Linked DNA regions of Ovis aries. The protein of the gene in region 2 purifies or fractionates together with the protein of the main gene of each other region. This does not show direct contact. Links are inferred from orthologs where the notes say so. Each region holds a gene or a part of one and is shown on either strand. Other genes may lie near its edges.

What was found.
Region 1: the proteins of PKMYT1 (region 2) and CKS2 purify together in Homo sapiens (affinity purification with mass spectrometry; 3 studies listed by BioGRID and IntAct, counting the BioPlex papers as one, with this or other methods). This does not show direct contact. The link is inferred for Ovis aries from reciprocal best matches to the Homo sapiens genes PKMYT1 and CKS2.

The regions. Positions count from the first base shown.
Region 1 is NC_056055.1:24,107,394-24,111,305, reverse strand, and holds the start of CKS2 (cyclin-dependent kinases regulatory subunit 2), read right to left. Parts: upstream 2,766-3,912; 5' UTR 2,664-2,765; coding exon 2,605-2,663; intron 1-2,604. UniProt on the Homo sapiens protein: Binds to the catalytic subunit of the cyclin dependent kinases and is essential for their biological function.
Region 2 is NC_056077.1:2,892,935-2,896,846, forward strand, and holds the start of PKMYT1 (membrane-associated tyrosine- and threonine-specific cdc2-inhibitory kinase), read right to left. Parts: upstream 2,339-3,912; 5' UTR 2,151-2,338; intron 1,792-2,150; 5' UTR 1,683-1,791; intron 1-1,682. UniProt on the Homo sapiens protein: Acts as a negative regulator of entry into mitosis (G2 to M transition) by phosphorylation of the CDK1 kinase specifically when CDK1 is complexed to cyclins. Mediates phosphorylation of CDK1 predominantly on 'Thr-14'. Also involved in Golgi fragmentation.

The DNA.
Region 1 (3,912 bases), on a different chromosome or scaffold from region 2:
GGACACATGGTTATCCAAAACACCCCAGCCTCCCCTGCAGCTACCTGTGGTCTCATGACTAAATCGACCAATAGGATAAAAGCAGAAAATATGCAACTTATGGAAAGCATCCTGAAAAGAAAAGAGCATGCCAGTTTTCATTTTTCTCCTTCCTGTTGGTTAGGAAGCAGACTGATGTGATCAGAGAGCAAGAGAAGTCATCTAAGACCACAGCTGCTGCTGTTAAGTCGTTTCAGTGGTGTCCAACTCTGTGACCCCATAGACGGCAGCCCACCAGGCTCCCCCGTCCCTGGGATTCTCCAGGCAAAAACACTGGAGTGGGTGTTTCTTCTCCAATGCATGAAAGTGAAGTCAGGTCCGACTCTTCATGACCCCATGGACTGTAGCCTACCGGGTTCCTCCATCCATGGGATTTTCCAGGCAAGGGTACTGGAGTGGGTTGCCATTTCCTTCTCCACTAAGACCACAGAAGTGATTATAAATTGAGAATGGTCCCTGATTGTAAGAGCTGCAAATAACCTGTTACCTGATTTCTATCTTCTACCTAATTGTTGATTAGTCTCAAGAGAAATGTACAGTGTTTTTGTACTCACCTTACGTATACCCTACAAAATACAGCAATATTTTATGTTTAAGTGGAAGTCACATCCCTACCTTCTCCATAAACCATAGGAATAGGCTAACCATCATCAAAGTTTGATGACAAGGGAAAAATCTGTAGCTTCAATCTCAGATGGAGAGTCTACATGTATTTGTTTTCCCCCTGCATGGGTATATATTGGGCTTCCCTGATGGCTCAGAAGGTAAAGAATCTACCTGCAATGTGGAAGACCCAGGTTTGATCTTTGGGTCAGGAAGATCCCCTCCAGAGGGGAATGGCAACCACTCCAGTATTCTTGCCTGGAGAATCCCATGAACAGAGGAGCTTGGTGGCCTACAGTCCATGGGGTCACAAAGAGTCGGACACGGGACTGAACAAATAACACTTTCACACTTTCAAAACTATATATATTTCTAACTACATATAAGGAGAATTGTTGCCCAAAGTTAACATTTCAGTACCAAGTGCTTTTCATGGAGGGTGATGAGGTAAAGAAGGCAATAACAATACAAACAACAAAGGAGCTACTAAGATAACATTGCAGGATACAATTAAACTTCCCTTCTCTGAAGATTACTGCCCTGTTTCACAAAAGTTTAAGTGGCTTGGTCAAGAAACAACAGCTTTAATTAATACTGGATTGGATATTAATCCAGATTTTAGTAAGATTGTGGTTATATTCTGTCCATTACTGCATATCCCCAGCTGAATTCTTGGTCAACATCACATAATTGAACATATCAACACATTACAGGAATAGAACTGTGTAGTATGTAAAAATATGACAACTGACTTCAAACAAAGAGACTTTTCCAATGCAATTAGGTATTACTAATCTGCAAGGCTGTCCAGAGAAATCAATTTTTCTCCAGAGAATACAGATTTACAAGACATTAGGGGGAGGGGAAAAGAGGAGACCCACCCACTGTTACTGAATGTACGCTTTCTAACTCAAAACAGCTTTCTTGGACATCTAAAAGGAGAGCAGACAGAAAAGGTCACTGTTTGGCCCCGCCTACACGTTAGCAGTTTCCCAGGATGCAGCGTCCTAGTCACCACCTAGGAGGACTGGGCGGAGCTGGTGTTTGAAGCCACACCCTAGTTAAGTCTCCGGAAAGCGTTAAGGCGATCGAGAGTTCGTTTCCTCCCACAATCCAATTTGCTAATCACATTTGGAAACTACGCTCTAGTCCCATCACATAATGATGCAGAAGCCACAAAAAAAAAAGCCTCAAAGCAAAAAATTATTTGGCCGATATAAACTAACAGAAAAAAATGCCCCAAAGCTGTTCGAGTTCTCAATTTAGTCTCAAAAGGAAGCCCCTTCAATATTAACCCAAGAAGGTTACCACGCACCAGCACCCGCTCAAAGTCGCCATACCCACTACACATTCAAATCCCAAGCAAGCTCGTTTGGGGGGGGGGGGGATTCCCCCACAAACTAATTTTTAGTGCCATCAACTTCAAGAGAGAAGTGTTTCTCTGGCGACGTTACCTGACCAAAATCACCCTTCCGACCGCCCCTCGCCCTCTGTGACTGGGGGTGGGGGGGGGGGGTGGGGGCGTTTGCCTGAATGCCAGGTAGGCCGAAGTTTTTAGGAACCGTTGCGCTTTTATGCAGGCGTCGGACTCTCAGCGCCAGGCTTCGGCCACGCCGGGCCCCCTTAGGCCCTCGGTCCCTTTCCTTTAGGGCAGCAACTCTGCACCAGAAGCGGCCCCTTCTGCGCTCCAGCTTTGTCCCCCTCACAGACAGGAACAAAGAGCGGAAGCCGGCTGGGCCGGCCCGCCAGACGAGGAGAGGCGCGCGCTCCCACCCCGGCGGCCCGACCCCAACACAACAGAGACTCGCGGCTGGCTCCCGACCTGAACTCCGGACCCCGACCCTAACCCCAGCCCGAAGCTCTTCGACCCCGACTCTGGGTCCCAGGTTCTCTCCCTTGGCCGGAGTTCCAGCCCAGGCTTGCCCGGGGCCGCGGCAGAGGTAGGCTGTCTGGCCTGCTCACCGGTATTCGTAGTGTTCATCGAAGTACTTGTCCGAGTAGTAGATCTGCTTATGGGCCATCCTGCAGGCGGGCGGTGGGCAGCAGCTGACTAGAGCGAAGCGGCGCGAAGACAGGGCGCAGGTGAGGAGACGTCTGCGTCAGGTGAAGGCAACGACTCGACTGAGACCAACCGACCGTAAGCCGAACGAGCCAGGTTTGAATCCGACAGCCCGCCGCTGATTGGGTAACGGTGCCGACCAATCACCTTCCGCTCATCCTGCGGGAAGGCTGCAACCAGCTCCTAGCCTATCGTCACCGCCTTTCTGTGGCGTTTGCACAAGATTAGCCAATCAGAGGCCTGTTGCGAGGTCGCCCCAGGAAAGAAGTGATGATTGGCGTGGCGTGGGGGTGGGGAGCTCCCTAACGAGAAGGGCGCGGCCAGGGAAGGGCGGAACCAGGACGTTAGGAACCGTAGAGCGCGTGCGCAGGAGTTTAGAAGGTTCCAGGTCCGCTGAGCCGTTTGGACCGCGAACCTGCGGGAGGGGTACGGTATCGCGAGGTTTGGCAAGGCCCAGGAGTGGGAGGGGGCTGCCTATAGAGCTGTCGTCAGTTTGTCCGCGCACCCTCGGCTGCCGGTCCTACGTGCCGGAAGTACGTGGGAGTTGAGGAAGGCGGGCAGCCCTAGACTGAGGGAAAGACTGAGAGAAAGAGGGAAGAGTGAGGGGAAGAGTCTTAACCCAGGCGCGCCCAGCCGTTTTGTGGAGTAGAGATCCGGAAAGCCAAAGTTGTGCCGGGACGTGAGGAAGACGTCAGAATACCGCACAGCGGCGAGGCCGCATGGAGTATCCCGGAACCTCGCTACTGAGTGCTGCGGGGGTGGCGGTGCGAGGCCGTTGCCCAGAGACCTCTCAGGGGACAATTGTCTTCCCACGCCCTTCGCACATTCTGACAACTCTATAGATAGGCGTGCGTGCGTGCGTATGGGAAAATAAAAATTACTAAAATAATGATGTTTGGTAGAGGACGACGGTATTAAAAGTGATTTGTAAAAATTCCTTTGGCTTGTTATGCTTGAAATCTAATTTAAAATTAAGGTACTTGTACGGGGTTCCCTGGTGGTCCAGTGGTTAGGCCTGTGCGCTTTCAATGTCGTGGACCCTAGGTAGATCCCTGGTAGGGAACTAAGATCTCACATGCCCCGTGGCCAAGAAGAAAGTGTTTTTCACTTTTTCCACAATGAGCGCCTGTGGGTAGTGCAGCACAATACCGGTAAGAGCTTCATTGTCCTGCCACTGCCTCCCTCCCACAGGATGGTCGCTTTATCTCTTG
Region 2 (3,912 bases):
ATCGAGGGCAGGAGGAGAAGGGGGCGGCAGAAGATGAGATGGTTGGATGGCATCACCAACTCAATGGACATCAGTTTGAGCAAACTCCTGGAGATAGTAAAGAACATGGAAGCCTGATGTGCTGCAGTTCATGGGGTCTCAAAGAGTCAGACACAACTTGGTGACTGAACAACAAAGTGAACCAACATATGCATGATGGGTACACCAGAGAAGAGAAGGAGCTAGAAAAATATGGATTACAACTTCCCAAATGTGATTGTAAAAATAACCAAGAAGCTCAATGAACCTCAAGTAGGATAAGTGCAGATACACACACACAGAGTCAAAAGTGCCGGAAACCAAACGTGACGGGGAATCTTGGGAGTAGCAAGAGGAAAATGACTCGTTACTGAAAACACCCACTCCCCCCTTGACATAAGGATGGACATGAAGATCAGTGGTATAGAACTGAGAGTTGAGAAATAAAACTCTCACACTTAAGGAGTCCATTGATTTTCACAAGAGTGCCAAAAGAATTCAGCAGGAAAGAAATAGTTTTTTTAATAAATGGTGCTGGGAAAATTGGGTGTGTACATGCAATAAGCATTTAGAAGAAAAATCCGACCCAGCCTATTCTTCCTTCTAAGTATAAATATTCATATAGAAATACTAATGCATTTGATTATGAGATGATGTCCCAGATGCATGAATGGGTGGTGTTACATATGGTGGTTGGTTGATTGGTTTCGTTGCTAAGTCGTGTCAGACTCTTGCGACCCCATGGACTATAGTCCGCCAGACTCCTCTGTCCATGGGATTCTCCAGGCAAGAATACTGGAGTGGGTTGCTATTTCCTTCTCCAGGGAATCTTCCCCACCCAGGGATCAAACCTGGGTCTCCTGCATTGCAGGTAGATTTTTTTACCAACTGAGCTATGATGTCTTACATGTACCCTATTAGCTTTCTAAAATTGGAGACATTATAGAATTTAGACATTTAGTCCAGGAAACACACCTGGACTCAGGGGCTTGTGGACCTGTAATGCTGGCTTTATGGAAGGCTTAGTCTAGGATCTGGCATGCAGATTCCTCAGTATCCGTTATATAATGCTCTGAGTTGTAATTAAAAAAATACACAAAAGACAGTGGTCCCATGGGTATAAATGACTTTTCTGTTGGAGCAGAGAGGGCTATTGTGTGGCTATAATGTTATAATTGAAAGAAAAAAGGGGGAAAAAAAAAAAAGAGTCTAATCTTGAGAGGAGCCACAGTGTAGCAAAAGGAGTCCATAGTCAGCACAGGGGGGTGAGTCAGTAACTGAAACTGGAAGGAGCGGTAATCTGAGGGTGTCCTCCAATGCCTGAGTAAGTGAGGGGTGAGGGGCGGGACCCCACGAGGGCCTGCATGGAGAACTCACCCTGCAGCCTGTGGGGACGCTCCCTCTGCCTCTATCCATCTCAGGAATCCCAGAGTTTCTCAAATCGAAGGACTAGGGTGTCAGGCCCCTGTAGGGTGCTCGTTGAAAGTACAGCCTCCAGGCCCTTAACCAATTCTCACACCATCCCACAGTACGTAAACGTTCTAGCCTGGCCAAACAGCTTTGGGGGTGGGGGTGGGGGGTAGGTAGGAGAAATTGGGGCTCCCGGTGAATCCAGGGCGGCCCCAAGAACAGGCCAGGCTGGGATGACTTTTCAGGGGCCTCACCCTCTCAGTGGGTAGGATGCCATCTGCTGACCACCGTCTACCGCACTAGACTGTGAGTTCCTCCAGGGCAGGGCCAAAGCTGATTCACCTCCGTGGGCGTGGGGAAACCCTGGCGAACAGAGTGGAGCAGACCTGTTGTCACCGGGGAGGAGCTTTTCTTGGGGAGGACAAGTAAAGGAGGAGTAGTCGCAGGGGTAAGGGGCTCCCAGCAAGGGGATAGGGAGGCCCGGCGAAGGGGAAGTGGGCGGAGCCGCCCGCGGCAGAGGGGCCCAGGGAGGGCTGAGCAGTGGGGTTGGGCTGGCCCAGGGAGGGCTGGGGCTGTCGGAGGGGTAAGGAGGGAGGCTGGAGGGGGTTGGCTGTGAGGCAGATCCAAGGCCAGTCAGGGGGGCTAAGAGTTGTTCGGGAGGCGGCAGAAGGGAGGAGAGGGCGGTCCCTTCCGGGAACCCTCAGGGCCAGGTGTGGGCTCACCTGAGGCGGGTGGGCGGGGCGCAGCTCAGCAAAGTCCCAGATTCCGGGTCAGCGGAAGGCGCGGGAGCCCTCGGGGCGGTCAGGCGGGCCGGGGTCTTCGGCCCACCGCTCCCCACACCCGGGCGGGGGAACTCTAGAGGGGGAACGGCCCGTGAACGCGCGCGGACCCAGCTCGCGCCAAAAATTCCAAACCGGCCTCGAGGCCCCGCCCAGGAACGCCTCTTACCCCCGATGTGGCCTATCAGAGGCGCCCAGCCTGCTGGGGCTCCGCCCCAACGCCCCTGCGTGCGCGTCGTCGACGCCCGGTCGCCGGACCAGCGCTCTCATTGCGCAGGCGCGAAGTCTCCTCAGCTCCGCCCCGGGGCGGAGGAGGGTGGCTACGTGGTGCGGCTTGGAGGCTGAGGCGCCACGCGGGGTCTCAGGCAGCTGTTGGGTCCCTCCTGCCTGGTTCCCGGGTAGCCAGCCGACGTCCAGATTTCTGTGCCGAGACCCACGGCCTTCGCTGGGCTGGCTTAGTTTCTGCCATCTATAAAGGGAACGGTCAACTGTGTTTTTTGCCCCTGAGGTGTAGCCCCAAGAGGCGGTCTCTTGGGGGCTGGACAGGAAGTCTCTGCAGCCTCCAGGGTTCTGTCGCAGTCGAGTCCCTTGGGGTTTACTGTACCCTCCTCATACCTGCCATGCACTGCAATGCGGCGATAGGGCTGCCATCCCCCCATTCCTCCCCCCACCACACACACACCCTCTACCCGCTGAACAAGAATGAACCAGAAAATTCTGCCTCTTCCAAGAAGCCTCCCTTCCTCCATGTCTCAGCTAGTTCGGAGGCAGCCCTTCCCAGTCTTTGGATTTGAGACTTAGGCGCAGCTTAAATCTCCTTCAGCCTCTTGGCCTAATGACCTTGGGAAGGCACTGGGTCTTAAGCTTGGGACTTAAGTCCCTTCTGTAAAAATGGAGCTGATGACGCTTCCTTCAGGGAACTGGGGGTCAAATACGATGATCCCGTTAAAATTCTTAGCAGCGGGACTGCCAGAGCAGACGCTGATTCCTAGCTAGTGACTGGGAGTTGCTTCTTTCACCGGACAGGACCTTTTCATCCTTTAACAGGATCAGGGGAGTCAGGCTTCCAGGCCACAAGGCTCCCCATCTGGTCATGTTGTAGCCACGCCTTCCGGGGAAGAAACTCATTCAGAAGGACAATGCAGATAGGGCAGTGCAGTTTATTACACTGGCAGGCCCAAGGCAGAGTCTCCTTTTAGCCAAGGACCCCAACCAGTTTTTGTGAAAACCTTCTTCCCTGATGGCTCAGAGGGTAAAGCATCTGCCTGCAATGTGGCAGACCTGGGTTTGATCCCTGGGTTGGGAAGATCCCATGGAGAAGGAAGTGGCAACCCACTCCAGTACTCCTGCCTGAAAAATCCCAGGAACGGAGAAGTCTGCTGGGCTACAGTCCGTGGGATCATGAAGAGTCGGACAAGACTGAGCAACTTCACTTTCACTTTATACACCCTAAGTGTATGAGGTTCCCTGAAACTAGTCTGAAGAAAGGAAAAAGAAATACAATCAAAGTTAACGCTTGATCATGTCTTAAGCCTATGTAGTTAACAATGGACAATTATCAATAGGCCTGTGGTCATACCCCAATAAGCATAATAGAATTTATGATTCTATTTGGTTACACAGATAATTAGGGCATTCTTTTAAGTGATGGAGAGCCCTGGGTCTCTTCCTTCCAGGGGCCTGCTTTTCCAGTTGGTATGTCATT